Linked DNA regions of Macaca fascicularis. The protein of the gene in region 3 binds, or shares a complex with, the protein of the main gene of each other region. Links are inferred from orthologs where the notes say so. Each region holds a gene or a part of one and is shown on either strand. Other genes may lie near its edges. The genes, in order: MAGEA4, UBE2B and RAD18.

Evidence for each region.
Region 1: the proteins of RAD18 (region 3) and MAGEA4 are in contact, whole or in part, in a crystal structure (PDB 9BD3), measured with the Homo sapiens proteins. The link is inferred for Macaca fascicularis from reciprocal best matches to the Homo sapiens genes RAD18 and MAGEA4. Residues at the interface, in NP_064550.3 of Homo sapiens: Ser348, Phe350, Gln351, Leu353, Val354, Gln356, Ala357, Arg358, Lys359, Gly360, Tyr361, Lys362, Lys363, Ile364, Ala365; in NP_001011548.1 of Homo sapiens: Ser111, Val114, Asp115, Ala118, His119, Ser158, Lys160, Met161, Ile162, Ile204, Ile205, Gly208, Thr209, Met212, Glu224, Glu225, Val228, Met229, Gly230, His237, Val239, Tyr240, His290, Val291, Val294, Asn295, Arg297, Arg299.
Region 2: the proteins of RAD18 (region 3) and UBE2B are in contact, whole or in part, in a crystal structure (PDB 2YBF), measured with the Homo sapiens proteins. The link is inferred for Macaca fascicularis from reciprocal best matches to the Homo sapiens genes RAD18 and UBE2B. Residues at the interface, in NP_064550.3 of Homo sapiens: Tyr342, Arg343, Lys344, Lys345, His346, Lys347, Glu349, Phe350, Leu353, Val354, Gln356, Ala357, Arg358, Lys359, Gly360, Tyr361; in NP_003328.1 of Homo sapiens: Pro20, Val22, Gly23, Val24, Ser25, Gly26, Ala27, Ser29, Glu30, Gln35, Asn37, Ala38, Val39, Phe41, Gly42, Pro43, Glu44, Glu49, Asp50, Lys54, Leu55, Val56, Leu73, Ser74, Asp151, Ser152.

Annotation. Positions count from the first base shown.
Region 1 is NC_088395.1:157,988,194-157,998,195, reverse strand, and holds the start of MAGEA4 (melanoma-associated antigen 4), read right to left. Parts: upstream 5,776-10,002; 5' UTR 5,759-5,775; intron 5,155-5,758; exon of another isoform or gene 5,136-5,154; intron 871-5,135; 5' UTR 802-870; exon of another isoform or gene 798-801; intron 723-797; 5' UTR 658-722; coding exon 1-657. UniProt on the Homo sapiens protein: Regulates cell proliferation through the inhibition of cell cycle arrest at the G1 phase. Also negatively regulates p53-mediated apoptosis.
Region 2 is NC_088380.1:140,907,531-140,917,742, forward strand, and holds the start of UBE2B (ubiquitin-conjugating enzyme E2 B), read left to right. Parts: upstream 1-4,466; 5' UTR 4,467-4,595; coding exon 4,596-4,639; intron 4,640-6,768; coding exon 6,769-6,849; intron 6,850-9,057; coding exon 9,058-9,083; intron 9,084-10,212. UniProt on the Homo sapiens protein: E2 ubiquitin-conjugating enzyme that accepts ubiquitin from the ubiquitin-activating enzyme E1 and transfers it to a E3 ubiquitin-protein ligase. In vitro catalyzes 'Lys-11'-, as well as 'Lys-48'- and 'Lys-63'-linked polyubiquitination.
Region 3 is NC_088376.1:147,213,731-147,223,874, reverse strand, and holds the start of RAD18 (E3 ubiquitin-protein ligase RAD18), read left to right. Parts: upstream 1-4,365; 5' UTR 4,366-4,474; coding exon 4,475-4,525; intron 4,526-8,716; exon of another isoform or gene 8,717-8,796; coding exon 8,797-8,878; intron 8,879-10,144. UniProt on the Homo sapiens protein: E3 ubiquitin-protein ligase involved in postreplication repair of UV-damaged DNA. Postreplication repair functions in gap-filling of a daughter strand on replication of damaged DNA.

The DNA.
Region 1 (10,002 bases), on a different chromosome or scaffold from region 3:
CTCAGATGCGGAGTCGCCCTCCATTGCGATAGTGCCCAGGACGATTATCAAGAGGCCTGTCTTGGGAAAGATATGATTACCACCCAGCAGGCCATCGTAGGAGAGGCCCAGGCAGGTGACAAGGGTGTAGGTGTTGCTGGTGGGGTCCACTTCCTTCACGTCAATGCCAAAGATCATCTTCAGGGACTCAGAGGCTTTGCCGAAGATCACAGGAAAGCAGTGCTTGTAATTTTTGATGACTCTCTCCAGCATTTCTGCCTTTGTGACCAGCTCCTTGGCTCGATACTTGAGGAGCAGAAAATGAACCAACTCATCCACCTTCTTACTGAGTGCTTCTCGGAACAAGGACTCTGGGTCAGGAGAGGTGCTTGGCCCCTCCTCTTCTTGGCTGCTGGAACCCTCATTGGGTTGCCTCCAGCAAGTGAAGTTGACGGTAGAGGGTAAGGCGGAGGCTCCCTGAGGACTCTGGGGAGGACCTGTTGACCCAGCAGCAGGCACTTCCTCCAGGGTGCCAGGGACCAGAGGAGAGGAGGAGGAGGCAGCAGCCTCCTGCTCCTCAGTAGCAGGAGCCTGCGCACCCACTAGGCCCAGGGCCTCTTCTTGGGCCTCAACGCCTTCCTCAGGCTTGCAGTGCTGACTCTTCTGCTCAAGAGACATGATGACTCTGGTCAGGGCAGCAGGTGGGAGTGTAGGCAAAAGCTGGGCAGTGGGGACCCACAGGCCTGGGGAGAGAGGGAGCATGTGAGAGGCCTCAGCTGAGAACCGAATCTTGGAGGCTCTAACAAAGGCTTACTTACAGACCTTCTCCTTGGTGCTCCTCTGTGATCTCCAAGGAATCCTGTCCTCCGGGTTGGCCTATCTCCTGAGAACCTAAAGGAGGAAGTGAGAGAGCACCTCAGGGTATAGCCGGCCAGCAGAGGTCGATTCTGCAGGACTAACAGGAGGTGAGGTCAGACTCTCTGGAGTTCCACGTGTCCTATGCCAAGTGGGGCCCTTGGTGTGCATTCAGGGCAAACATTCACTGCTGGCACAGCCTGTGCACCCTCTGCTCTGTGACTTGAGGACACAAGTCTCAGACCAAGGCCTCATTGCCTTGTTCCTGGAGCTCCTAGGAGATGAATCCATGGGCCCTTAGGGTGCCGACTATAAGCACAGCCCCAGTCCCTCAGTGCTATCAAGAGGGCAGGCTGGACTCTGTGAGGTCCCCACTCTCATAGAGTGGATGGTCCACTCTGTGGTCACTCAGGGCCCTCACATTTCTCCAGGCAGGGCCTGGATTCCACCGTTTTGCTGGCCTGAGAAATTCAGATCAAGCACTCACATGCCTGAGAGGAAACAGGACATGAGGGGCCCCACATCTGGCCACATGTGCCTAGGTCCTCTGAAGAATGACAGCAAGAGATGTCAAAATTCATTGGAACCCATGTGTCCTGGGTGAGGAGCCTGCTTGGTCCTCACCTCAACTCCTGGCAGAGCCTGGGACCCTCCCTCTACTGACCTGGGTGCAGCCCCTCAGACCAAGGCCTCCCCCTCCGTGACATCAGTGATCCCAGGACAAGAGAGGGACCTCAGCAGACAGCCAAGCCCATGCTCTCTGGGGTGACAACAGGAGCAAGGCTGATTTCTGTGGAGTCGTCGTCTGCGTTCTGGCCCTGTGGTACCCTCAATCTTCCCTCACATTCCTCACCAGGACTCTTGGCAGATCCTGGGACCACTGTGTCTGTTGACCAGATAGAGGTCTGTGTTGACCTGAGTAACCCTCTGAGAACAAGGTCCTAACCTCACTGAGATCTGCAATCAGAAATGAGGAGCCACATCCTGTCACCCCTGTGCGGGGAGTCCACAGCTGACCCCTTTGGTCCTGGGGTGAGGGTTCTGATGGCCTCCTGTGGGTCACTCATGTTTGCTCCCAACGGGGCCTGCCCTTCCTCAACCCCCAACCCCCTGAGATGAGCAGATATTGCCCCTTTACTCCAAGACCTCATCTTCCTGAAGGTTCTCCAACTTCCTGCCTATGGTACAAGTAAGATTGGCACATAAGGCCATCCCTGCTCTGGTCCCCCCGAGCTAAGAACAGGGGACAGCCAGACTCTGCGGGGTCCCGTCTTTCTGAGCCACAGGTATCCTCAGACCATAGCCCTCTCCTCTCTGTGACCTCGAAGGTGCAGGAAGCATGAGCTACATGTGGCTACCTTGCTCAGGACCTCCCAGGGCCCAGGTGTCCACTGATCTGGAATGCAAGGACCCCTGAGTCCTCCCTCGTCTTCCTTTCCTTGATCCTGGAAGGGCTGGAACCCACCCCTCTGCTGACCTGAGTCACCATCCCTTGGATTCTCGAGGCTAAAAGAGGAGGCACCTCATTCTCAGACGGGGTGGGGTGGGCTCCCTGCCTTGGGATGCTGGGTCTCCTGAGTCCTTCCTCGTCTCCCAGGAGAGCCAGGGTCCTCCCTCTGCTACCCTGAGGCTCTGCTCATGATACCAAGTCCCTTCCCTCCTTCAGCCCTGGATGTGGATGTCAAGATCCGAGTGCCTGATCATTCCCAGGTCTTCCGTCGGTTGACTGCAGGAGAAAAAATGGATTCTGCAGAACGGAATTGGGGATGGGGTTGAGGATCTGGATGGTGGGGGGATGCTGGAATGTGAAAGGGGTGGGAATGTAGGTCCCTCAATTCCCTCTCAGGGTCCTGATTCTGATGCCAGGCAGAGCCTGGGCCCTGCCTTGGGCACACCAAGCTGTGACTCGAGTCCCCTGTGGCTTTAGTGGCAGTGGGAGCTGGGACGGCCTAGCCTGAGTCTTCCCCCGGGTGGTCCAGGGCTGGCAGCAGGGGCTGAGCTCGATTGTTTGGGGTCCTCTATCTGGAGTGGGGGCCTCCTCAGTCCTTCATCAGAGTCTCACCTTGCCTCGTCACAGAGCTTGGGCCTGCTCTCCTCAGTCAATCTCAATTATCCCCTCAGGACCATGCCCTCGATTCTCTCTGACCCCCAAAACGTCCCAGCACCAAGTCTGGGGTTTCCCTGGATTGATAGCAGAAGGGGAACTGGATTCTGCCTGGTGAGGTTGGAGGGCAAGGAATGGGAAATGGGGCAGCGAAGTGGTAGGGGATTTGTGGGAATGGGGGTTAGAGTGGGATCTTGGGGGACCTCAGTTCCCTCTCAGGTTTCTGACTTTGATTCCTGGCAGATCCTGGGCCATGCCCTCTCCTAACCAGCCCTGCCCTGATCACACCAACCTCTGACTCCAGAGTCTCCTGTGGCTTAAACAAACGGGTTGCAACAGGGGCGGTGGTGGGGAGCAGCCCAGCCTGAGAAGTCGGCCTCCTGGGTGGTCCAGGGCTGGCAGTAGGGATGGTGCTGGATTAATTGGGGCCCTCTATCTGGGGGGGGGCCCTTCTGAGACCTCCCTCAGCCTCTCACCTTGCCTCCTCAGAGCCTGGGCTCACTTCTCTCTGCTGATGTCAAGCTCCCCCTAAGGAGAACCTTGCTTCTCTCTAACTCCCAATGAGCAAGTCAGTGGCGTCACATTCGGGTACCAGGGACTTTCCTGGATTGACAGCAGGGGCTGAACTGTATTCTGCCAGGGTGGGGGTTCCGGTGGGAGGGGTGTGGGTGGAAAGGCAGAGCGGAAGGAGATCTGGGTTGAGGTATAGGAGTGGTGGATAGGGGTGGGAATGGCAATGAAGTGGGGGTGGGTCATGAGAGTGGGGATTGCAGTGGACTCTTGGAGGCCCTCAGCCCTCCCTGAGATTCCTGACCTTGATGCCTGGCAGAGCCCAGATAGTGCCCTCTCCTAAGCATCCCTTCCATGGTCACACCACGCTCTGACTCCAGAGTCTCCTGTGGGGACCGGGTGTGGGGACAGGTGGTGGTGGGGTGGGAAGCTGGAGGCGGCGGCCTAGCCTGAGAAGTCAGCCTCCGCGATGGTCCAGGGCTGGGACCTTCTATCAGGGATAAGGGTGTCCTGAATCCTCCCTCAGAGTCTGACTGCCTGCTCACAAAGCCTGGGCCCCCTTCTGTCTGACAATCTCAAGCCGTTCTTCAGAACCAGAACCTCGCTTCCCTCTAATCCCCAATGCACAAGTCAGTGGCATCACATCCGGCCACCCAGGGCTTGCCTGGATTGAAAGCAGGGGTGTAACCAGATTCTGCACGGATGGGGATGAAGGTGGGGGGCATGAGGCTGGTGGGGGGTGTTGGGGAGCATAGGGGCACAGGTGGGGGATGGGGGTACAGATGGGGTTGGGAGTGCGGATGGGAATGGGAACAGGGTAGGGGATAGGAATGGGGTGGGGGACGCTCCACCCTCTCCTAGGGTCCTGATGTTGAAGGTTAGCAAAGCCTGTCCCCACCAGTCTTGCACTGATTACACCAAGCTCTGACTGAACAGTCCCCTGCGGCTTAAGCGGCAGTGGAGTGGTGGGCCCCAGACTCAGATGTCCGCCCACGAGTGACCCAGGGCTGAAAGCAGGAGTGGTGCTAGATTATTTGGGGTCATCCATCTGCAGTGGGGAGGGTCTCCCGAGTCCTCCCTCAGCTTCTCACCTTGCCACCTCAGAGAGCCTGGGCCGGCTTCCCTCTGCCAAGCCCAAGCTGCCTGTCAGACCAAGAAGCTAGCTTCTCTCTAACCCCCAATGCGCAAGTCACTGGCATCACATCCGGGCACCTGGGGCTTCCCTGGGTTGAAAGTGGAACTGGAACCCGATTCAGCCTGGATGGGAGTAGAGGTTTTGGGGTGGGGATATGAGGGCAGTGATTCAGCCTGGATAGGGGTAGAGGTTTGGGGGTGGGGATATCAGGGTGGTGGGAGTTTGGGGAGGATAGGAGTACTGGTGGGGAATGGGGGTGTAGATGGGGTTGGGAGTGTGGATGAAAATGGGAACGGGGTGGGGGACCCTCAGCCCTCTCTTACAGTCCTGAGGTTGACGCCTGGCAGAGCCTGCCCTCACCAGTCTTGCACAGATCCCCCCAAGCTCTGACTCGAGAGTCGCCTGTGACTTCAGAGGCAGTGGAGTGGCGGGTGACCCAGACTCAGAAGTCTGCCCACGGGTGGCCCAGGGCTGGCAGCAGGAATGGTGCGGGATTATTTGGGGTCGTTTATCTGGGGTGGGGGCCTCCTAAGTCCTCCCTCAGCATCTCACCTTCACTCCTCAAAGGGCCTGGCCCGCTTCCCTCCGCCAATCCCAAGCTCCCTGTCAGACAGAGAAGCTCGCTTCTCTCTGACCCCCAACGCGCAAGTCATTGGCTCACATCCGGGCACCTGGGGCGTCCTGGGGTTGAAAGCGGAAGCAGAACCCGATTCAGCGTGGATGGCAGTGGGAGGGATGAGGATGGTGGAGGGGGCAGGCTTTTTGGGGTGGGAGACGGCGGTATGAGGATGGTGGTGGATTGGGGAGGATGGATGGGGTGCTGCAGAGGGATGGGAGTGTGGATGGGTTTGGGAGTGCGAATGGGAATGGGAAAGGGAACAGCGTGAGGGATGGGAAGGGGGTGGGGGATAGGAATAGGGGTGGGATAAGCTCAGCCCTCTCTTATGGTCCTGAGGTTGATGCCCGGCAGAGCCTGCCCTAACCAGTCTTGCACTGATCACCCCAAGCTGTGACTCCAGAGTCCCCAGCGACTTCAGAGGCAGTGGCGTGGTGGGTGCCCCACACTCAGAAGTCCACCCACGGGTGGTCCAGGGCTGGCAGCAGGAGTGGTCCAGGATTATTTGGGGTCGCCTATCTGGGGTGGGGGCCTCCTGAGTCCTCCCTCAGCATCTCACCTTGACTCCTCACAGGGCCTGGCCCGCTTCCCCCCACCAGTCCCAAGGTACCGGTCAGACAAAGAAGCTTCTCTCTAACCCCCAATGCGCAAGTCAGTGGCATCACATCCGGGCACCTGGGACTTCCTTGGGTTGAAAGTGGAAGCGTGGATGGGAGTGGGAGGGGTGACGTTGGTGGAGGGAGCGGGTATTTTTGTGTGGGAGATGGTGGTATGAGGGTGGTGGGGGGTTGGGGAGGATAGGGTTGCTGGTGGGGGATGGGGGATGGAGGGTTGTGAATGGGAATGGAAACGGGGGGGGATGGGAATGGAGGTGGGGGATGGGAATAGGGGTGCGGTAAGCTCAGCCTTCTCTCATGCTCCTGAGGTTGATGCCCGGCAGAGCCTGCCTTCACTAGTCTTGCACTGATCACCCCAAGCTCTGACTCGAGTCCCCTGAAACTTCAGAGGCAGTGGGGTGGTGGGTGCCCCAGACTCAGAAGTCCGCCCATGGGTGGCCCAGGGCTGGCAGCAGGAGTGGTCTGGGACTATTTGGGGTCGTCTATCTCGGATGGGGACTCCTGAGTCCTCCCTCAGCATCTCATCTTCACTCCTCACAGGACCTGGCCCCCTTCCCTTGCCAATCCCAAAGTGCCGGTCAGAGAAGCTCGCTTCTCTCTAACCCCCAGTGTGCAAGTCAGTGGCCTCACATCCGGGCACCTGGGGCTTTCCTGGGTTAAAAGCAGAAGCGGAACCCGAATCAGCATGGATGGGGGAGGGAGGGGTGACGGTGGAGGGGGTGGGAATTTTGGGGTGGGAGACGGTGGTATGAAGGTGGTGGGGTGTTGGGGAATATACCTGGGCTAGTGGGGGATGGGATTGTGGATGGTTTTTAGGAGTTCGAATGCGAACAGGGTGGGGGTGGGAATGGGGGTGGGGAAGGGGAATAGGGTTGGGGGACATTCAGCCCTCTCTTTTGGTTGTGAGGTTGGTGCCTGGCCAACCTTTCCCCCGCCCATCTTGCATTGATCACACCATACTCTGATTCCAGAGTGCCCTTCGACTTCAGAGGCAGTGAGGTGGTGGGTGCCCCAGACTCAGAAGTCTGCCCACAGGTGGCCCAGGGCTGGCAACAGGAGTGGTCCGGGATTATCTGGGGTCGTCTATCTGGGGTGGGGGCCTCCTGAGTCCTCCCTCAGCGTCACACCTTGACTCCTCACAGGGCCTGGCCCGCTTCCCTCTGCCAATCCCAAGGTGCCAGTCACACAGAGCAGCTCACTTCTCTCTAACCCCCAATGCAAAAGTCAGTGGCATCACGTCCAGGCACCTGGGGCTTCCTTGGGTTGGAAATGGAAGCGGAGCCTGATTCAACGTGGATGGGGGTGGGAGGGGTGACGTTGGTGGAGGGGGCGGGTATTTTTGGGTATAAGATGGCGGTATGAGTGTGCTGGGGGGTTGGGGAGGATAGGGGTTAGTGGGGGATAGGGGTGTGAATGGGTTTGGGAATGCGAATGGGAATGCGAACAGGGTGGAGGATGGGAATCAGGGAAGGGGAATAGGGTTGGGGTACGTTCAGCCCTCTCTTTTGGTCGTGAGGTTGATGCCTGGCCGACCCAGCCCCCACGAGTCTTGCACTGATCACTACATACTCTGACTCCAGAGTCCCCTGAGACTTCTGAGGCAGTGGGGGTGGTGGGTGCTCCAGACTCAGAAATCCGCCCATGGGTAACGAAGGGCTGGCAGCAGGAGTGGTGCGGGATTATTTGGGGTCATCTATCTGGAGTGGGGACTCCTGAGTCCTCCCTCAGCGTCTCACCTTCACTCCTCACAGGGCCTGGTCCGCTTCCCTCCGCCAAGCCCAAGGTGCCAGTCAGACAGAGAAGCTCGCTTCTCTCTAACCTCCAATGTGCAAATCAGTGGCATCACATCCGGGCACCTGGGACTTCCTTTGGTTGAAAGCGGAAGCGGAGCCCGAATCAGCGTGGATGGGGGTGGGAGGGGTTAGGTTTGTGGAGGGGTGGGGTATTTTTGTGTGGGAGATGGTGGTATGAGGGTGGTAGGGGGTTGGGGAGAATAGGATTGCTGGTGGGGGTGGGAGAGTGAAAGAGTTGTGAATGGGAATGGAAACGGGGTGGGGGATGGGAAAGGAGGTGGGGGATGGGAACAGGTGTGGGGTAAGCTCAGCCCCCTCTTATGGTCCTGAGGTTGATGCCGGGCAGAGCCTGCTCTCACCAGTCTTGCACTGGTCACCCCAAGCTCTGATTCCAGAGTCCCCTGCGACTTCAGAGGCAGTGGGGTGGTGGGTGCCCCAGACTCAGAAGTCCGCCCACGGGTGGCCCAGGCCTGGCAGCAGGGGTGGTCCGGGATTATTTGGGGTCGTCTACGTGGAGTAGGGGCCTGCTGAGTCCTCCCTCAGCGTCTCACCTTGACTCCTCCCAGGGCCTGTCCCGTTTCCCTCCGCCAACCCCAAGCTGCCGGTCACACAGAGAAGCTCGCTTCTCTCTTAACCGGCAGTGCGCAAGTCAGTGGCCTCACATCCGGGCACCTGGGACTTTCTTGGGTTGAAAGCGGAAGCGGAACCCGATTCAACGTGGATGGGGGAGGGAGAGGTGACGTTGTGGAGGGGGCGGGAACTTTTGTGTGGGAGATGGCGGTATGAAAGTGGTGGGGGGTTGGGGAATATACCGACGCTGGTGGGGGATGGGAGTGTGGATGGGTTTGGGAGTACGAATGGGAATGGAAACGGGCTGGGGGATGGGAATGCGGGTGGGGGATGGGAATGCGGGTGGGGGATGGGAATAGGAGTGGGGTACGCTCACTCCTCCCTTATGGTCCTGAGGTTGATGCCCGGCAGAGCCTGCCCTCACCAGTCTTGCACTGATCACCCCAAGCTCTGATTCCAGAGTCCCCTGTGACTTCAGAGGCAGTGGGGTGGTGGGTGCCCCAGACTCAGAAGTCCGCCCACGGGTGGCCCAGGCCTGGCAGCAGGGGTGGTCCGGGATTATTTGGGGTCGTCTATCTGGGGTGGGGACTCCCGAGTCCTCCCTCAGCGTCTCACCTTGACTCCTCACAGGGCCTGCTTCCCTCCGCCAATCCCAAGCTGCCGGTCACACAGAGAAGCTCGCTTGTCTCTAACCCACAGTGCGCAAGTCAGTGGCCTCACATCCGGGCACCTGGGGCTTTCTTGGGTTGAAAGCGGAAGCGGAACCTGATTCAACGTGGATGGGGGAGGGAGAGGTGACGTTGTGGAGGGGGCGGGAACTTTTGTGTGGGAGATGGCGGTATGAAAGTGGTGGGGGTTTAGGGAATATACCGGCGCTGGTGGGGGATGGGAGTGTGGATGGGTTTGGGAGTGCAAATGGGAATGGAAACGGGCTGGGGGATGGGAATGCGGGTGGGGGATGGGAATAGGAGTGGGGTACGCCCACCCCTCCCTTATGGTCCTGAGGTTGACGTCCGGCAGAGCCTGCCCTCACCAGTCTTGCACTGATCACTCCAAGCTCTGACTCCAGAGTCCCCTGCTACTTCAGAGGCAGTGGGGTGGTGGGTGCCCCAGACTCAGAAGTCCGCCCACGGGTGGCCCAGGCCTGGCAGCAGGGGTGGTCCGGGATTATTTGGGGTCGTCTACCTGGAGTAGGGGCCTGCTGAGTCCTCCCTCAGCGTCTCACCTTGACTCCTCCCAGGGCCTGTCCCGTTTCCCTCCGCCAATCCCAAGCTGCCGGTCACACAGAGCAGCTCACTTCTCTCTTAACCGGCAGTGCGCAAGTCAGTGGCCTCACATCCGGGCACCTGGGGCTTTCTTGGGTTGAAAGCGGAAGCGGAACCGGATTCAACGTGGATGGGGGAGGGAGGGGTGACGTTGGTGGAGGGGGCGGGAATTTTTGTGTGGGAGATGGCAGTATGAAGGTGGTGGGGGGTTGGGGAATATACCGGTGCTGGTGGGGGATGGGAGTGTGGATGGGTTTGGGAGTGCGAATGGGAATGGAAACGGGCTGGGGGATGGGAATGCGGGTGGGGGATGGGAACAGGAGTGGGGTACGCTCACCCCTCCCTTATGGTCCTGAGGTTGATGCCCGGCAGAGCCTGCCCTCACCAGTCTTGCACTGATCACACCAAGCTCTGATTCCAGAGTCCCCTGCGACTTCAGAGGCAGTGGGGTGGTGGGTGCCCCAGACTCAGAAGTCCGCCCACGGGTGGCCCAGGCCTGGCAGCAGGGGTGGTCCGGGATTATTTGGGGGCATCTACCTGGAGTAGGGGCCTCCTGAG
Region 2 (10,212 bases), on a different chromosome or scaffold from region 3:
TCGCCCGCTTATCAGGCCCAAGGTCCTAAAAAAAGCCTGATCCCGCCCGCAACTCAAACCAGACGTCTTAGGATGCCGGACCGGCGTCACGCCCCACGTCCCGCTGTCGACTTTATCCAAAGAGCCGCCGCCGCCTCAGCCCATTCTGTGGTCCCGCTGGCCTGGCTCTGCGTAGTTCCAGTGGGGCTACGGAACACTGATACTACTTCGTTGCTTAGCCCCGCAAAGATCAGGCCACTCGCTACCATGGAAACGCCAGCAGAGTTGCTGCGTTCTAGCCCTCGTGCGCAAGACCGGAACATGGGCAGGGTCCTGACCCGGAAGGGGAAGTGAGAAGAAACGGAAACCTGCTCTGGGTAGGCAGAGGGTGGAAGAGTGCTGCGCTTGGGAATGGGGGCGGGGAGTACAGGTCGCTGTCACAGCTGAGCCTCCTCACAACGTTGCTTTTGAATGGGGATAGGGAGGGTCTGCCTTTTTTTGTTGTTTGCTTTTTTGAGAGAATTGTGCAGTGGCGCCGATCTCGGCTCACTGCAACCTCCTTCTCCCGGGTTCAAGTGACTTTCCTGCCTCATCCTCCCGAGAAGCTGGGATTACAGGCGTGCGCCACCACGCCCGGCTTTGTATATTTAGTAGAGACCGGGTTTCTACTATGTTGGCCAGGCTGGTCTCGAATTCCTGACCTCAGGTGATCCGCCTGCCTCAGGCTTCCAAAGTGCTGGGATTACACGCTTAAGCCACCGCGCCCGGTCAAGATGGTTCTTAAAAACTTTTCTTGAACACCTGCCATACGCCTTTAAATTTTTTCCAACTGCTAGTAATGTTTTTTAAAGGAAAAAACCTCCCTCACCACGTGTCAAACTCTAGGGAAGCAAGTAATTCGAAGGGTTCCACCATATACGAAATGATGTACAAGAGCGCAGAAATAAAGAGGCCAGTGTTTAACTGCTTAAGTAGACATAGAGTTCAGCTGGAGTGACAGTCCCTAATGAATAACCACCGTATCACTAGAGCAAGTGCCTAGGGAGTGCTTTCTTTATTGAATAGGGCTTTCTTTGCTTTTTTTCTATAAAATGAGTTAAATGTAAAAAGCGAAATCTCGCCATGCTTCCACTAAATAAGAGGAAAGGCAATACTTAATAAATTCTAGTCCGGTGGGTACCGCCCCAGCATGCATATTTAAATCACACTTGGAGAGCTTTTAGAAAGCAACTCCCAACTCCCACATCCACACCCCCGCCCCAACACCAGAGAGCCTGATTTAATTGAGATAGGGTAAATAAATTAGTATGTTTGAAGCTTCTCAAGTTTTCTATGCTGCTACGGTTTATATTGAGAGAAAGGAGAAGTGGTCATCGTTTTCACTGATCACCTAAAATATTCAGAATTGTCTTATTTGAAAGTTATTCAGCAGGATGCGGTGGCTCACGCCTGTAATTGAACACTGTGGGAGGCCGAGGCGGGCGGATCACGAGGTCAAGAGATGGAGACCATCCTGACTAACATGGTGAAACCCTGTCTCTACTAAAAAATACAAAAAATTAGCCGGGCGCGGTTGTGGGCGCCAGTAGTCCCAGCTACTCAGGAGGCTGAGGCAGGAGAATGGTGTGAATCCGGGAGGCGGAGCTTGCAGTGAGCCGAGATCGCCCCACTGCACTCCAGCCGGGTGACAGTGAGACTCCGTCTCAAAAAAAAAAAAAAAAGAATGTTATTCAACCACAATATAAAACACCTTCTATAAATAAGAATGTCATAGTAAATCTTATAGTGGGTTCAAACTTCGTGTAAGCATATTATTTGCTGTGGGCAAAATATTTGCAAGGAGGCTGCGCACAGTGGCTCACACCTGTAATCCGAGGGAAGCCAAGGTGGGCAAATCACTTGAGCCCAGGAGTTCCAGACCAGCCTGAGCAACAGGGCAAAACCCCGTCTCTACAAAAAATTAGCCGGGTGTGGTGGTGCACACCTGTGGTCCCAGATACTTGGGCAACTGAAGGAGAATTGCTTGAGCCTGGAAGGTCAAGGCTGCAGTGAGCCCTCTTCACACCACTGCACTCCAGCCTGGGTGACAGAGCAAGACTCTGTCTCAAAAAATAAAAAAACATTGCCCAGGACAAAGATGAACCAAACTCAGTCCCTGCCCTCAATGAACTCATAATCCAGAGCTACAGAATTGATAACAGCATACAATTAATAGCTTTAAAATTATTCCTTCTACAAGTAGGTTATGGCAGGCCTGGTTAACCAGAACAGCCAGTGATTCTTGCTAATACACAGCTGTAAGACTTTATGATGCACATGCACTGAATTAGTTAAAAGTGTTAATTCATTTTGGAAAATTTAAACTGTTTCCGAAACAATTATAAATCCCTGTAGTCACGGAATTCCTAAACTCCATTGCCTCCAGTTCCCATCTTTAGGACTTTGTTGGTGCGTCAGGAGGACTCAGCACTTTTGTATCCATTCTTCAGCTCAACAAGGAAAGGGAGGTAGGAGAAGGACCTCAGCATTGCCCTAATCTTGCCCATAGTTCCATGGAACCAGAAAGGGTTAACTTTTCCCACTTTCCTTGTACCTCCCTTTTTTCAAACCCTGAATTCTGTCTCTGCTTTCAGTGACTGCCTAGACTGATAAATTATAAGGGTTTTTTGGTTGTTGCAGGGTTTGAGACAGGGTCTCAGTGGCATGATGATGGCTTACTGCAGCTCAAACGATTCTTCTGCCTCAGCCTCCTGAGTTGCTGGGGCTACTCGTGTGCACAGAGACAGGATCTCCTATGTTGCCCAGGCTGGTCTTCAACTCCTGGCCTCCCAAAGTGTTAGGATTACAGGCATGAGCTAATGCCCCAGCTCATGAGGGATATTTTTAAGATATAGTTTCTATTTACCATTTTTCTCCATGTAACCCTGCCTGTGTGTCTTCCTCCTTTGCTATTGGAAGGGTTAGGACTGCAATGGCAGAAAAGCAAAAACATTAAGAATATTCAGCTTTTAACTTAGAAAACACATTGTGAATGTCTAACAGGACCTATCAAGAGTTAGGCCTGGCTAACTTGATCACTAAGGCAGTCACTGGAAGCTGAGAGAATTCAGGGTTTGAAGAAAGAGGTACAAGGAAAGTCGGAAAAGTTAACTCTGCTTCCATAGAACTAGGGGCAAGGTTGAGGCAATGCTAAGGTCCTCATTCCACCCTCCCTTTACCTGTTGAACCGAACAATTCCCCAAATGGATACAAAAGTACTCAGAGTCCTTAGTATAACAAAGTCCTGAAAGTAGGAATTAGCAGCAATACAGGGAAAGACAGTAACTACAAAAAATATTCAAGGTCTGTGGGAGGTCAACACCTCTGAACCCCCTGGTGGTGGGGGGGCACTTCTCGCCCATTTGCACCTTTCTTGCTAGTGTAAAAAACCTGAAGTTGTCTCAGGCTGGATAGATAACCCTCACTCAGGTCTGCTGGAGCTCTCCCCCACATATGAATCATATTTGTAGGTTTCTTTGACAACCAACCACTCATTGATATGCTTGGAAGACTGCACCCCCACATTCTTAAAAATACAATGGTACTCCCCCCCATAGGCAAGTCCCCGGACTCTGACACATATCTTCAATTGAAAGCAGACCCAGAAAGGAAAAACTGCATAATACACCATCCTTTAATGTTTGCCCAGAATTTCCAATACTAGAAACCCCACTGCAAAGCAGAAAGACTATTTGGTAGCTTCAAGGAACCATTTCAGGAGATTGTTGTGTGGCCCTCAGTATTCAATGCTGCCTTAGAAGATCTTGCGATCCTCTCTCTTCTTGCCCCAAGTACCAGAGTTCATAAGCCACTGAACCAACCAGAGGGGAGTTATTTTTGGTCCCGGTTTAAAGAAAACAAAACAAGCTGTTGATCCTCCCACGACCTCTTGGGTAATGTCTCTATACCTGTGATAAACCGAAAACAACTAATAAAGGTGTATCCAGCCCTCACCCTCTTAGACCCGCTTCACAGACCTGGCCGAAACTCACATCCAGGCGAGGCTCTCACGTGACCCGTTCTAAACGCGTCACAGGGACACGTGGTTCTAGATACTTCTCCCCCTCCCCCTCAGGGGTGGATTGTTGACAAGGCCGCGGGCAGTCACGTGATCTTACATCATCCCACCTCCTTTCCCTGAAATCCCTGGCCCGGATACGTCCTTCTTTCTCCACCCCGCCGAGCCTAAACTAGAGACGGGGAGGCAGACAGGATAGTGTGTCGGTTTCGTGGTCTCTGAATCCACAACCTCTAGTCTGAACACAGAGAACACAAATTTGTCGATCACTTCAGGAAGCCCAGGAAGAACCACGCCCCGCTGAAGGGCTCAGGGAACGCGCGCTCCCCCGTCCCGCCCCCTCCTCCCCCAGCACTCACTCTGTGGTAGCGGCGGAGGGCGGAGGGATCCGGAGGCGGCGGAGGGAGACGTCATTGCAGGGTTGTTTGTCAGTCTTGGCGGCGGCGGCGGCGGCGGCGGCGGCAGCGGCGATCCACAGTGATTCGGCCGCCGCGCCGGGGGGTGGGGGGGCTGCGCGGGACTCTTTTCTTTCAGACTGACCGCGGGGCAGCTGCGGAGCATGTCGACCCCGGCCCGAAGGAGGCTTATGCGGGATTTCAAGCGGTAAGGGCCTTCAGCTTCGCATAGATGACGGCCTCTCAAAGCTGCGGGGCTGCAGGGCGTGGATCCCGGACACCTTCCCCTTGTGACCCTCAGAGGGCCGGCTGTGGGCCCAGGGGGACTGGCGGAAGCCGGGTCCTACCTCGGCCCCTACTCTCCTTATCCTTGCCGCTCGCTCTGGCGCCCGAAGAAATTTCGATACTGCTTCCCCTCCCCCCAAAAAGTAAAACGATGTCGATCGACTGGTCTAGGGTTCCCCGCTGCCCATTTCGGCCAGCTGCCCGGGGTCTCGTCCAGGGGATCAGACGGGGATCAGACATCATCCTCCCGCCCCTGCACCCTGCGGAGACCCTTTCTTGTCCCCTCAAAGTGAGCTCCCGCGGGAGCTTGTTCTTCTCCGGCAGCACCAGTCAGCTTTGTTTCACGGCCCCTCAGTCTTCTCCGAGGAGCCGGGTTGGGGTGAACCTCCCCAGCCCCCCACCCTCGCCAGTCCTTTCCATTTCTGCCGTGAGGGTGGGGTCCAGTGCGTGAGGCTCGGAGGTTAACCCATCCCCCGAAACCCGACTCTGTCCCCGCCCGCCTGAAAAGACCTTGGGAACTGACTTAGAGATCTGGGACCTTAGAGCTGGCCACCCCGGCTGCCAGTGCCTTCTGGAACTCAGATCTGGCTGGTGAAGAAAGCCCTATCTATAGCCTCCCGAGTCTGGAAAAATGCCTTCCCTTAGACTGGCGCTAATTTGATACTCCCTGGGCCTTCTTTGGTAAATAAAATAGGGTTTTGTTAGGAGGTATTGGGGTTGTGAGGAAGAAAATGATTATTCCGTTAGTTTACCTTTTATTGGATACTTAGAGACGTAGAAAAAACAAAATAACGTAGAAAAAACAAAATAAGTGAGAAAACATTTTGATATTCTGCACATTTTTCTTAAAATTTTTTCTGGGGACACCTACCCTAATTGAACAAAATAGCATAAAAACATAGATTTGTCGCTCAGGAAGTCACCTCTCAGCTATTATAAAGCCTATGTGAGGCATTTGGATTTGGCCAACTTATTTAATTCATTCGTAGCTTCTCTTAGCCATTTAAAGGTAGGCGTCAAGCAGTGCAGTTCCTCTAAGGCTTCTGTTTGTGGTGGCCTAATTTGCTTGAGATTGACTAAAAACCTTTTTTTTTATGTGGACTAGTTGCAAATTATGATGCCCCATGAAAACAACTCCATATGTATTTGTGAGTGTGTATAATGTAGCATTTTTAATTGAGGTTACAGTCTCTGAAAGGAGATGCCCTTTTTGGTGCAAAAGTCATTTTTCTAAAGCTTGAAATCAGTGTATCTGATTAGCACTCATGACTAAAATTCAGATAGTAAACTAGTTCATGTCATTGTCGCCCTGGCTCCTTACTGTAATGCTCTGCTTAATTCTGAGTTGAATACATGGCACCTTTTGTAGTTTTCCAGAGATCTATAGGTTACAAGAATTTGACTATGACGAATGTGGGAAAGCCTTGTATTGAGTCTCCTGATTTGAGAGGTAGATTTGATGTTAGTGCAGAGCCTTTAAAATAGGGACTGGCGGAAAACCTACTGATTACTTTTTAAAGCCATTGCTGTTTGAAGCAAAAGGGATAGAGTAAATCTGCTGCCTAATACTAGTTTCCTAGTTAAATTTAATGTGTTTTCAGTCATTTCGTGTTTACACTGAGGTTTGCTTTTTTTTTTTTTCTTGTAGCCATTTTGCAGAAGTAGCCGTGGTTAGGATACACAGTCTTTGCATGTTTAGAGCAGCAAAATCAATGGTTCTGTAAAAATATTACTTGCTTTTGAGGTTTTAAACTTTTTTTGGTATAAGAGGACAGTCTATATACATCAATTCTTGAAGAGATACTCTTGATAATATTGAAAGAGGGATGATTCTCAAGCCCTTCGGATTTTTAGGTAATTTGGAGAGGTATTTAATAAGTATATATACCTGGTTAATATATCTAAGTCATATGGTTCATTTTAGTTCACAATAACAAGGAAATGGAGTTAGTCTGTGTCTCAAAATAGATGGTGTAGTGTCTGTAGGTGTTTATGTGGCCTCCTTAGTGGCCTTAATGTTCAACTTTTTAAATTACAACGCTGGATTTCTAGGTTACAAGAGGACCCACCTGTGGGTGTCAGTGGTGCACCATCTGAAAACAACATCATGCAGTGGAATGCAGTTATATTTGGGTGAGTTGAAAGGTTTAACAAATAATAGGTGTGTGCTGAATCTTTAAGAAAAGTGAACATATAACAACTGTCTAGGAAAAGAAACTGAGGTAGAATGAGAGATCTTAAGGACTAAAACTGCAAGATAAATTAGAAAAAAATTTTTTTCAATTAGAGTTTTGGCCCAGCACAGTAGCTCAACGCCTGGGAGGATCGCTGGAGCCCAGGAGTTCATCACCAGCCTGGGCGATATAGTGAGACAGTGAGACTCTGTCCCCTCTCCACCAAAAAAAGAGTTTTGGCCCAGTCTGGGCAACATAGTGAGAGACCTTGTCTCTACAAAAAGTATAAAACTAACTGGGCATGGTGGTGCCCAGCTACTTGGAAGGCCGAGGCAGGAGGATCACTTGAGCCCAGAAGTTTGAGGCTGCAGCCAGCTATCCAAAAAAAAAAAAAAAAAGGGAAAAAGTTTCAGCAGTTATACAAAGTTTATTTGCTCTTTGATGTTATTACATATGGTTTTATAATCACTTGGGGTTTTACTTTTAAGATACTACTCAAAACTAAATGGAATGGAATAATAAAGGAGAAACAATAAATTACTTTGTATAAAACATATCATGCAAATGCTCTCATTCTGTTGGAGCTGTTAAAAGGTTTGGAACCAAAAATATTAAGAACTTCCACTGCTGCAAGAATTTAAGTGAAAATGATTCACAGCCCAGTGTAAAATAACAGAATGCAGCCATTTGAGAAGCAGCTGTAAATTTTACCTACTATATATATTGCATATATGCTTTTTAATTTAAAATTTCCTTATGCTTTTTTTTGTTTTTTCTAGACTTGATCTATTTTTTTCTTTCATTCCTTTGATACTAGAGTTTTGCATTAAAAAGTAAAAGGAATATGTTGATAAACAGAATTCTGACACTACAGAATCAGCTACAAGAGTCTACATTTAAAGACTAGTGGAAAATGAGTGAAGTTCATCCTCATAAAGTACTTCTGAATCTGAGTTGAATACATGGCACCTTCAGGATATTATCCTGCTGCTTTGAGATCCTGAATATGCCTTGCAAGTAATAATTAAGCTTTATGCTGCTGCTTAGGAAAGATGAAATTGGGATGTGGGGGCAAGGATCTGAGCAAACAAATCTGGCTCTTTGGTGACATCAACTATGCTTAGCCTATTTGAACAAAAGTTGTGGCTCCATTGGAAAGCAGGACACTTGGGTTTAGCATCATAACTAGAGTATTGCTTTACTTCTTATTGCTGTAAAATGAAAAGATGACTTTCCCTCTTAAGAATATACATATGGGCCAGGTGCAGTGGCTCATGCCTGTAATCCCAGCACTTTGGGAGGCTGCGACGGGTGGATCACCTGAGGTCAGGAGTTCAAAACCAGCCTGGCCAAGATGGTGAAACCCCATCTCTACTAAAAATACAAAAATTAGCTGGGCGTCTGTAATCCCACCTACTCGGGAGGTTGAGGCAGGAGAATTGCTTGAACCTAGGAGAAGGAGGTTGCAGTGAGCCAAGAATGTGCCATTGCACTCCAGCCTGGGGGACAAGAGCAAAATTCCATCTCAAAAAAAAAAAAAAAAAAAAGAATATACATATGTACAAAATGACTGGTCAGCATTAATGAAAGTTTTTAGGCCGGGCGCGGTGGCTCAAGCCTGTAATCCCAGCACTTTGGGAGGCCGAGACGGGCGGATCATGAGGTCAGGAGATCGAGACCATCCTGGCTAACCCGGTGAAACCCCGTCTCTACTAAAAAAGTACAAAAAACTAGCCGGGCGAGGTGGCGGGCGCCTGTAGTCCCAGCTACTCGGGAGGCTGAGGCAGGAGAATGGCGTAAACCCGGGAGGCAGAGCTTGCAGTGAGCTGAGATCCGGCCACTGCACTCCAGCCTGGGCGACAGAGCGAGACTCCGTCTCAAAAAAAAAAAAAAAAAAGTTTTTTTGTGCTAAAATTATGGGCAAGTTTTTTTGTTTGGTTTTGTAAAACCACCCTAAAAAGAAAGCTTAGAATGAAAGTTATACTTTATGCCTGGGTCTATGAAAATTCAGGGCTAAAGTGTTATTAAACTCTATCTTAAAACTCCACAAATCATCAGAATGAGTTCCTCTTTTTCTGTTGGAGTAAATTTATCCTTTCCCATTCTTGAAAATCAAGAAAAAGCAGAATGAGAAACTTCTTTTAATCAGAAATCTTCTTGTTTTCAGACCAGAAGGGACACCTTTTGAAGATGGTAAGTCATACTCATTATGTTTTCTATAGTGTTATGAGGTTACTTTTTGGTAGAAAATTGTAACACCAACATATCTACTTGAAGCCATTTTCTATGGTTAATAGGCCAAGTTAAAAGTAAAGCTATGGAAAATTTATACTTTATAAGGGACTTTTTCCCACAGCAGCTTGGTCACCTCCATTCGTAACCGGTATTAAAGGTTACTTTAATATTTTTGTGTAGAACTGTAAGCCAAGATGGCAATGTTTATGTTGAGAATAGTTTAAATTTAGGTGGCCTTAATAAAGATATCTCTGAGGTGAACACCAGAAGAGTAAATCATGCTTTTTTACTTTGTTATCTTTGATATTTGACAGGGTGTTGAGCTGAACTTTTTCATAAACATACATAGCTGCCAGTAGTTTCAAGTACTACCAGCATTTAACACCCATAAGTAGTTACCATTTTGCATAATCTTTGGCATCTCAAGTTGCGTATTTTCATCGGGGCGAGGAAAATGGGAAACGAGTTCTAATAACGTATTTATAATTGAGCTTAACAAATTGATTTTAACCAGGTACTTAAGAGTTTTCCTAATTATAGTATTGGATTTTAAGAAATTATTAAACAGCTTTGTTATTAACAAAATGACTTCAGAATTCATCAAAAATATCCGAGAATATTGATAATTCTCTGTTTGTAAGGACGTAATCTCAATGTCCAGTAGGAGAAATGGTTAAGCAAATTATGATGTATCTGGATTCTGGAATATGTACCTGTTAAAGAATAAGGCAGATTTGGACATACTGTCTTAAGAGGACAAAAAAAACTGCAGGATAATGTTTGTTGTAGCATCACATTTTTAGTAAATACATACATGCATGTGTGTCTATGTTAAAGGGTTATATATCAAACTGTTATCAGTGATTATCTGTAGGTGGGGGTAAGGAGTTGAAGGAGGTACAAAAGATGCCAGTTGGCCAGGGCAGTTGCTCATACCTGTATAGCCAGCGCTTTGGTAGGCTTAGGCAGGTGGATCATGGATCACTTGAGCCCAGGAGTTTGAGACCAGCCTGGGGGAGCCCGTCTTCACAAAAAATTAGCCAGGCATGGTGGTACATGCCTTTAGTCCTAGCTACTTGGGAGGATC
Region 3 (10,144 bases):
ATTGTTTTTACATTAGTTACTGTTTTATGCAATTATCTTACTCATTTTCTTACAAACTCTCTTTTTTTGTCCTGGTTCCACGCTCGCCCCCAGGCTGCCAGCTCCGAGAGAGCAGAGACCATATCTGTCTTATTCACCTCTGTATTCTAGCACCTGGCACAAGTGGGGAGTGGCTCAATAAACATTTGTTAAAATGAATGGAGGAAGGGAGAGAAGGAGGCAGGGAGGAAGGAAGAAAAAAATAAGGAAGGAAAGAAGGACAGAAGGAAGGAAGGAAGGAAGGAAGGAAGGGGAGAGAGGGAGCTCCTTTAATATCCCCTTTCCCATAACTAGAATGAGGAAGATGGGGCCTAAAGGAAGAGAGAGTGCTGGGCAGAGAGGAATAGGATGAAGAGAACCTGGAAAGGAGCTCAGGGGCCACAGGACATCCCCAGGTTAATCCAGGGCAGGTCCCACACTCAGTTGGGAGAATGCTTCCCTAATTAGGGTTGCCAGATTTGCAAATAAAAATACAGGATGCCCAGTTAAATATTTGAATTTCAGCTAAACAACAAATAATTGGTTAATATGTTGTGTGCAGTATTTGGGACAGATTTACACTAAAATGTTGTGTGCTGTTCATCTGAAATTCAAATTTACTGGGCAACTTGTATTTTATCGGGCCATCCTATTCTGGCTCCTCACTGTGTGCTGTGTGCCACTGAAGATTGCACTAAACACTAGCCTGCTTTTATTTTACATGGAACATTTTGTTTTTAGTCCTGAATAAGGAAGTACAATCTCTTTATTGATCTAACAGAAGGAGAAAGTTCGTACAAACAGCAGCTTGTTAAGAGGAGAATGGCTCCCAGGGTTAGATAAACACCCAAGACAAATGCCTTCTCCTGAGCTCAAAGTGAGTTTGTGTTCTTGAACTTTCCTTCCTGGGCTCAGAGGTGGGCTAGATGGGATCTATCTCCCTGGGTGCTGCTGAAGATGGCAGGAAGAGGAACGCTCAGCCTGGGAGGAAAAGATTTATGGGAATGTGGGCTTAATGGGTGATTCATCCATTCATTCAGCCTCACCCAGCAGCTATTGGCAGACACTCAGAGATGAATGGCACCGGGTTCTGTCCTGGAGGCTCTCCATAAATAGGGAAATGAATTTTGGCCCCAGGACCAACATGTACTGCCTTCTTCCAAATCTGTCTCCATGGTTGAATGCAAAGAGTACATTTTTGTCCCTGTCTTTTCTCTCTCTCCCTTTCTCCTTCCCCATTCTTTCTCTTTTTTCTCATCTCCTCTCTCTTCCTCTCTCACCTTTCCAGCCATTTGTCACCTTAAACCTAATTACCTTGTCCAACTAGTACTGTGAAAAAAACGATTACTGGTTTACTCAGGCCACGGACCTGGTCTTAGATGCTTTTCCCTTGTCTCTCCAAGACCCCACTTCTCCCGCATCCAGAACTATCCAACATTTTCCAGTTCAGCCTGGCATTTATTTGCATGCCGTTCTATGATTGGCTGATACAAAGCGGGGGGCGGGGGTGGGCACCGTAAACCTCCATTCCTCATCTTCCTGTTGGGAGTCCCACTAGGTCCAACAACCTCAGATTCTCAGACCTGGCTCTGCCCCTTGACTTGGTTTGCTTAACTGTTTCTCCAAAAAAAAAAAAAAAAAAAAAAAAAAAATCAATGGGTGATTTCATCTGGCTAGAGGTTAAAAGACCTAGGTTCAGTCCTGGACAATGCCACGCACAAACTGTGGTTTATGTGAGTCCCCTCGCCTCTCTGAGACTCAGTTCTAATGATGAAGGCCTTATGAGAATATTCTGTAGTGGTTAATATGGACTCTCGAGCCAGACTGCCTGAGTTCAAATATTTCATCTTCCACTACCAACAGGGTGCCCTGTGAATAAGTCAAATAAGTACATATGTGTAAAAAACTTAGAATGGCGCTTTGCATAACAAGGTCCTAATAAATGTCAGCTATTATTGTAGTGGCTATTAAAGTCCTTTCTCTAAATGCTATTAGTATTAATATGATTGCCCAGCAAGTATTTGGGCGCAAGCTGGGAAAAATCAATTTACTACAGCTTTGGCTCAGAGGCCAGAGGGTTCTTATGAAGAGAGCTCAGAGGAGTGAAGTCGTAAGCTCTCTGAACCTCAGTGTCCTCATCTGTAAGATGGCAATAACAATCTGATCTCTGCCTGTTTCCCAGGAAAGCTCAAGTGTCTGGCCCATTGTAAGCATTCAGAAAATATTTGTGAAATGAAGTAGTGAATGGACCACGTGGGGCGACAATGACATGGCAAGCTGCAGGGTTCTGCCCTGAGCCACATCTGTGCTACTTGCTGCCTGTAAGACTTGATGCAACAGAGGCCTACAGAAGGCAGTTGGTGAATGCTGAGTTGAACAGACAGGCTGAGTGGCGTGCTAATTAGTGCTTCACATTTGGAAACAAGCACTCTTATAATCTCTTGGTCAAAGTGCAAATGTATCAGTGTAGCCTTACTGGAGGACCATTTAGTGCTACCTATCACAGAGAGCACACAAACCGACCTATCAGTTCCATTTATAGAAAATCATCCCCAGATATCTTGACTCAAGTGTGCCAAGATTTATAGAGATAGCATGTTCACTGCAGCTCTTTGCAATAGCAAAAAGAACTAGAAACAACCTAAATGCCCCATAATACAGAACTACACAAATAAATTGTAGTACATCCATATTATGGTCTATCTAGCTATTAGAAGGAATGAGATAAATTTATATGTACAAACATGTAGAGGTCTCAAGAGGTATGGTGGTATGGTTAAGTAAACAAACAAAACCCTCAAGTTGGCAGAGCTATGCATTTAATATAACATGTATGAAAAAAAGTATCTATGTTTGTATCTTGTTTAAGAAAAAAATTGTCCAGTGATACTTGTTAAAGCACAATAAGGAAGACTTAATCAGGACAATTCAAGTAGGTATACAGACCACTGCAACTGGGTCTTGTAATTGGTGAAGACTGGGCTCAACTCTGAATACAACATGAGCAAATGGAAATTTATAGACAGGAAGCAGGGTGGGGAGCAGTGCATGAAAAATTACTAAGAGGAAACATCAGGGGTAACAGTAGATTCTTGCTGAAGAGGCCAGGGTGATCAGACATCAACTGGGGGACGGTGGAGGATGAGGAACCCATCAGATATCAAGGGTGATCACATATCAAAGGTGGGGATTCTTGGTAACTTGATTTAGCAGGGTTTTTTTTTGCTAAAACTGGATTTTTTAAGGAAGTACACAGATTGGCCTAAGAGAAGGTTCAGGAGCCTGATTAAAGTTCGCTCAAGCAAAGAATGTTTGTCAATCTGCCTAGGAAGTATCTGGAAGGCTATATGCCAAAGTTAACAGTGCTTCTCTCTGAAGAAAAACTGTACATTAAAATTTTAATATTGTAGCAGGACGAGCCGCAGACAAAACTTCTCAGACACTGGTTAAAGAACGAAGAGGTTTTTTATTCAGCCGGGAGCATTGGCAGATGCATGTCTTAAGAGCCGAGCTCCCGGAGAAAGAAATTCTTGGCCTTTTTAAAGGCTTACAACTTTAAGGGGTCCACGTGAAAGGGTCGTGATAAATCAAGCAAGCGTGGAAACATGCCTGGGAGCTACGTGAATCAACTAACAGAACAAAAAGTTTTACAATGCTTTTTTCATACAGTGTCTGGAATTTACAGATAACAGAAGTAGTTTAGGCCAGGTTGATGTTATTATTATTACTTTTTTTTTTTTTTTTTAACTCTTAGGGCCGGATGGTGGTGCCAAGGTTGTCTGGCTATTTATCTTACTTTTGTTTCTTTCTAACTGTTTGCTTTCTCTCTTTTCTTCTGTCTTGTGAACCAGGCAAGGTGTGGGGAGGACGGCAGCAGGAGTAGTAGTGGTCTCCTTCCTTAATATGAATAAAAGCAAGAGCTCCCTTTTAAAGCCCAGATGTCTTATTTGGAATCTGACTCGAAACTCTGTCCTCTTTTTTCGGGCGCAGCCTTCCTCTTGTGTAAACTGACAATGATAACATTTACCTCCCAGTGTTGTAAAATGGGAGAGAGAAAGTAATGGATATAAAAACTTCTGTTCAGAGCAGGGACGGATCGTCATTGCGATCAGGGTGGGCGACCCGAAGGGGGTCATGAGCTTAGACCTTGACAGATCTGTCGTGGTCTGGATTTGGTTTGATTCCTGGCTATCTTTTCTTAACATTCAACTGGCTCTAGGTTTTCTAACCCACTCACTTTCTTCAAGGTAAGTGTGGCAGAAGCCTGGCGCATGCGCAGTACAAGCACCGTAAGCGGCGCCCCGCCCACATACTACTACAACTTCCGGCAGGCTCCGCGCCCGCCTCAGGCGCGTCGCGGGTTGCTGACGTAATGCAGTAGCGCGGGGAATTTCGAGTGGTATTGGAGCGCCAGAGGCTAGTGGGTGGCGGACCCCTAGCATCTTCGGGAGAGACCATGGACTCCCTGGCCGAGCCTCAGTGGCCTCCGGGCCTGGCAGTCATGAAGGTGAGTGCTTCGGAGAGGTTGGGAGCTCCCGGGTGTCTGCGGGGGGAGGTCCCTCCCTTTGAGGAGGATGTCTTCGCCTTAAGGAGAAAGGATGAGGCGCGAGCGTAGCCCTGGGCCAGGGTACCCGGCTCTGCTCTGCCACTAGCCGACCGCGTGGCTCTGGGTCTCAGTTTACTCCTCTGATAAGTGCCAAGGACAAGCCTGGTGAGCTGAGGTTGGCAGTCTTATGGAACCAGATATTCTGCGATCCAATCCCAACAATAACTGGGAGAAGAGCAGTTATTCTAAACAGTGACATCGACAGCTGATCTTTACTGAAAGCTTACTTTGTGTCAAGCACTAAACAGTGACACCGGACATGGTTTTGGGTGGAAAGTTTATCAGATAACATGTATGTAATCACGTAGCCGAGCAGGTAGTCTCCTTTACAGGCTCTTTCATTTATTCTGATTATTCTCAATAAACCTAGTGCTAGTTTGTTGTGACATGCTGCCCCAACTCCTCTCTAACACACCCTCACTCTTCTTTAACAATTGCTCATCTCTCCGTCTTTTAAACAGAGATCAGGACTCAGGCCCAGCGCTGATCTTGCATTGCATCTAATGATTTCACTTAAATAACATTTATTTTTGTGGCCACTTTCGGTTTCAGCAAGGCATACCAGTTTCCATTTACAGTAGCGGTGGGCCCTGGATTTGCTCAAGAGCAGATGCACTTTGCTGTGCTGGCTAAAAATCAGTTGCTTAGTTTCTTCTTGCTCTGTGATTATTTCCGTTTCTGACAGTGGCTAAGGTAGCCTTCTTCTCTTCCTCAGTTTTGTAGACTTGGGGATTATAGTATCTGTCCCACTGACTCATAAATTTGACTTTAGAATTAAGTGAAGGCTAAAGTAAGTAGGCCTTGTTCTTCCTGCTGTTATCAGTGACGTCTAGAGTGCTTGCGGACTTGAGATACCTGCATGACGAGAAGCTGACATTGTGAAATGATCCAAGAAAACTGTAGTTTTGAAGTTGTGGTGGGCTTGGTACCAGGATGCAGTGGAGAAGAGCACAGATATGAGTTCCAGTGGTCCTGGGTGAAATCTCTTCTCTGCCTCTTAACTGTGTGACCTTCAGTTATTAACTTAACCTCTCTGAGCCTGAATTTCTTCAACTATAAATTAGAGACAAAAATAAACAGTTCATAGGATTGATTAAATAAATTAGTTGATGTATGTGGGCACAGATTCTGCTGTGTATTCACGTGCTTAATGCAGTGCCTGACACAAAGTGGGTGCTCAAATATTTGTTGCTTGATTGAAAGTATCTGGAATGTAGTAAGCATTCAATGAATGTATTTTATTATTATTAGCACGGTGTTAAGTGCTTCTCTCCCCTTTTAATTTGTTGTCATGAAGCTTGACTTGGATAAGGAAAGTAAAAGAGCTCTGTAACCTGTAAAGCTCCTGCTTTGTAGATTTAAGCATACTTTACATATTCCCACAATTTCAGTGTTCTTTAGAGGCGGGTTCCATGTCTTCTCTGACTTTGGTATCCCACCACAGCACTGAATGTAGAGTTTGGCACCACAGGGTGTTCAGTGAGTGTTCAACCAGAGAGTTGATTGAGCCCATATTTTTTGCTCACATTAGAATCATGGAATCTTAAGGTTAGAAAACCAGTCCCTTTCAGTATTTTAACCTCTTGTATAACACATCTGCCAATTTCTCACTTAATTTTTGCTTGAATTCTTCCAGGGACAAAGAACTATCAGATCCCAGAAGCAGATCTGACTGAAGTTACTTCTTTTATTGAATAGAAGTCTGACTCAGAATGCATGGTTGCTAACTTAGGATCCACAGAAAGACTTTGGAGTCTCAAGTTATTTGTAAAATTTTTGTATGTATATTTTTCTGAGAAGAGAGTCCATAGTTTTCATTCAATTTTCAAAGGAATCTGTAACCCCAAAAACTTAAAGAATATTTTTGTAATTATTACATTTTTCCACCTGTTTTCTACTTCTCTCTTTCACTTTCTCTCTCTCTAAAGTAAAGAAATTTTGGGGGATCTGCTGGCCACTCTCTATTTAGGCATCATTTTTTGTTTGGTTGGTTGAGGCACATGTGATATGCATGTTACTGTCTTGGAGTGACATGACCAGAAATTTTAACAGAAATAGCTCATCTGATGTAGTGTCAACTTCCACAAATTGTGCGCTACAGATCTTTCAGAATCATTCCTCCACCAGAAGAGGATGGCATAGATAAGAAAGTGTGATATGATAGACTAGTTCTGGCTTCTGGGCCTGCCTCTGCTCTTAATTTTTGTGTCTGTGACAGCTTACCATCCACAATAATGGAAGATTTTGGCAGGTTTTACTTTAACAAAAATTTACTGTTTTTGGCAGATCGTAAATGTAATATGTGTACACAGTAGAAAAAAATTAAAATTCAGAGTAAGATAAAGGAGAAAAATAAAACCATCCATGATTCTACCACCCAGAGAACCAGTGTTTAACATTTTACTTTATTTTCCTTTGGTTTTTATGCATTTAAAATTTGGGACCACTGTGGAGTCAACTTCTTGGGTTTGATCCAGCCAACTTAGGAACTCTGTAGGCTTTATTTTTAAAATTGGGATATTGATGCTGTGGACTTCGTAAGATTGCTCTGAAGATTAAACTGCAGAGTTGTTATGTATTATTGGCACAGATTTATTTTCTGATTTTTATTTTCCTATGGCATTAATTATCCTTTGAAAGCATGTTCTTTAATGACTGCCTAATATTTCATCATATGAACCGTTAGTGACATTAGTCTTTTTTTGTTTAAATTTTTAAAATTCAGGTAATAGGTTCACATGGTTCAAAATACACATAAAATAAAAAGTAAAAGTCGTCTTCTTACCATGTTCCTGGCCCTGATCATTATTTATGACTTCTTGTTTATATTCTCATAATTAATTTATATTTACGATGAAAACAGAATGCATTCTTTTTTCCTTTTTTTTCTTTTTTGAGATAGGGTCTCATTGTCGCCCATACTGGAGTGCAGTGACAATCACGGCTCACTGCAGCCTTGAACTCCTGGGCTAAAGCAATCCTTACACCTCAGCCTCCTGAGTAGCTGGGACTATAGGCATGCGTCACTACGCCCAACGAATTTTAAAATTTTTTATAGACATGGATTTTTGCTATTTTGCCCAGGCTGGTCTCGAACTCCTGGACTCAAACAATTCTCCTGCCTTGGCCTCCCAAAGTGCTAGGATTACAGGCAAGAGCCACCATGCTAGGCCTATTAAAATACATTCTTATTCACCTCTTCCTTTAAAAAAACGGTAGCGTAGAATATGTACTGTCTGTACCTTATTTCCTTTATTCACTTATCTTGGCAATCTTTTCATACCAGTATGAAGGAGAGCATCGTCAGTTTTGCTCTGTCATGCAAGCTGGAGTACAGTGGTGTGGTGTGGGCTCACTGTAGCCTACGCCTCCTGGACTCAAGTGATCCTCCTGCCGAGAGCTTCCTCCTTTTAAAAAATATTTCCATTGAATGGAATACTATTTTAAACAATTTGAAAGATTTTAAGTTGCAAAAGTAGTTCCTTTCCTTTTGGATTGCATTCCAGGTTGGCACACATCTCTCTTTCCAAGTTGTCCACTTTCCCTTCCTCTGCTTTCACTGCCCCAGCTCTTTCCGGGCTTCCTCATTTGGCTCCATTGCGTGGTACCATGCAGAAAGCACTAGACTGCCAGAAGGGAGACAGGAATTTTGGTTTTGACTTGACTAATGCCTACTATTCTGTGCCTGCTCTTGATACCAGTTTCCTCTTTTGACTAGACAGTTTCTAGTGTTTGGCTTTAACATTCTTTGATTTGATTCTTAACCTGTGTGGTGGCAATGGCCACCTTTCACCCAATAGTGACTATAGGCTAAGTATTGGAATCCGAAGAGGAGGAGGCTTGGAGTAAGAGCTGGAAGTGCATTAGAAGTGGAACAGAAGTACAGTAGCCTTTATGTGAAGGGATGACAATATGGCACAAGAATCGGTGCACCATCATCTTTAGCTGTCTAAAGCGATTTGGGCAACCTGAGACTGAATGTATAAGAGTCATATGAGAGAAATTTTTCTTTATTTGTCAAGATCCCTTGCAGTTTATCTGGAGTTAGCTTTTGAATTTGTGTATTTGACAAAGAATTTGAATTTTTTTTAGGGGATAGAGAAAAACTTTTGTGACAAGACTTCCAATTTTGATGTCTTTCTGATACGTATATATGCACATTTGCATTACAGACAATAGATGATTTGCTGCGGTGTGGAATTTGCTTCGAGTATTTCAACATTGCAATGATAATACCTCAGTGTTCACATAACTGTAAGTATGCTTTGTTCCTGTGAGTTAGTAAATTGTGATTTTTACATGAGGTAGTGTTAATTTAACACCAAAGATACGTGCACATATTTATGTTTCACCTTTAGCTCTTCTATCTTGTAGTTTTTCAGAAGGTCTTTTTCACTGCCTTCCTCTTGAATATTGAAGGTTTTTACAAGGCTTCTATATTTTCTACCTCGTTCCTCCTTGATATGTTTATGCCTTTTATAGCATTTATGGCAGTAAAATTTTTGGTCACAATAAGTGATTCTTTATTTGCCAAAGTGCTTTTTGATGTTAAGTTTCAGAATTTTTGTTTTTAACAGGGTAACAGATAGGTGGTTCCATCAAGTAGTACTTGATATAGAATTTCAAAGTTTAAAAATTCTGTAGCAGTATTTCCCCAGTGGGAGAATTCTATCACTGGCTTTATTACAGACAGTTTTATAACTTAACTGCTATGTGATGCTGGAAAGACTCACATTGGAATTTGTTTGTACTTCTCTTTATGAGTCTAGTATATAAGCATTTAAAAATATTGTACCTTGAGATATTTAGTGCATAGGGGTTACCCTGTCATTGTTGAGGAGCTAGACACACAGTTTATGGGTTATTTAGGATATTTAGGTTCATGGTCTTTCTTGTCCTCTATTTTTGATTTATCTTGGAAAGTTAAAAAACAGTCAACTTAGGCCTAAGAAATTGGTTTTAGTTGGTAGTAGCTTTGGTGAAAAAGTTTATGTAGAGAAGACATAATAAGAGGATAACAGTGATGGAAACACGGGCTTTAGAGACATCCTTGGGCTTGACTCTTGAAAATCTGGTGAGTAATTACTACTTCAGAAAATGTTTGTGAGAATTAAATGTGCAGAACTCACTGCACATTATGAGTCCTTAATAATGTTAGTTTTCTTCCAGACAAGATTCGCATTAAAACCAAGTTAAGTTTTGGAGATTGTTTTAAAATATATTTTAACATCATCTTTATTTGGGTATAATTTACATACAATAAAATACATCCATTTTAAGTGCGCATTAAACTATAAAAGTGTTAATGAATTTTGACAAATGTGTATGCTGTGTAACGACTGCAATTAAGATACTGAACATTTTCATTATCTGATAAATTTCTCCGCATCTCAGTCAGTATGACCTCAGCTAGCCATCTGTAGTCTATTTCTGGACTTTTTTGTTCCATTGATCTTAGAAACTTTTTCACCAAAACTACTGCCCACTAAAACTATTTTTTTAGACCTAAGTTTACTGTTT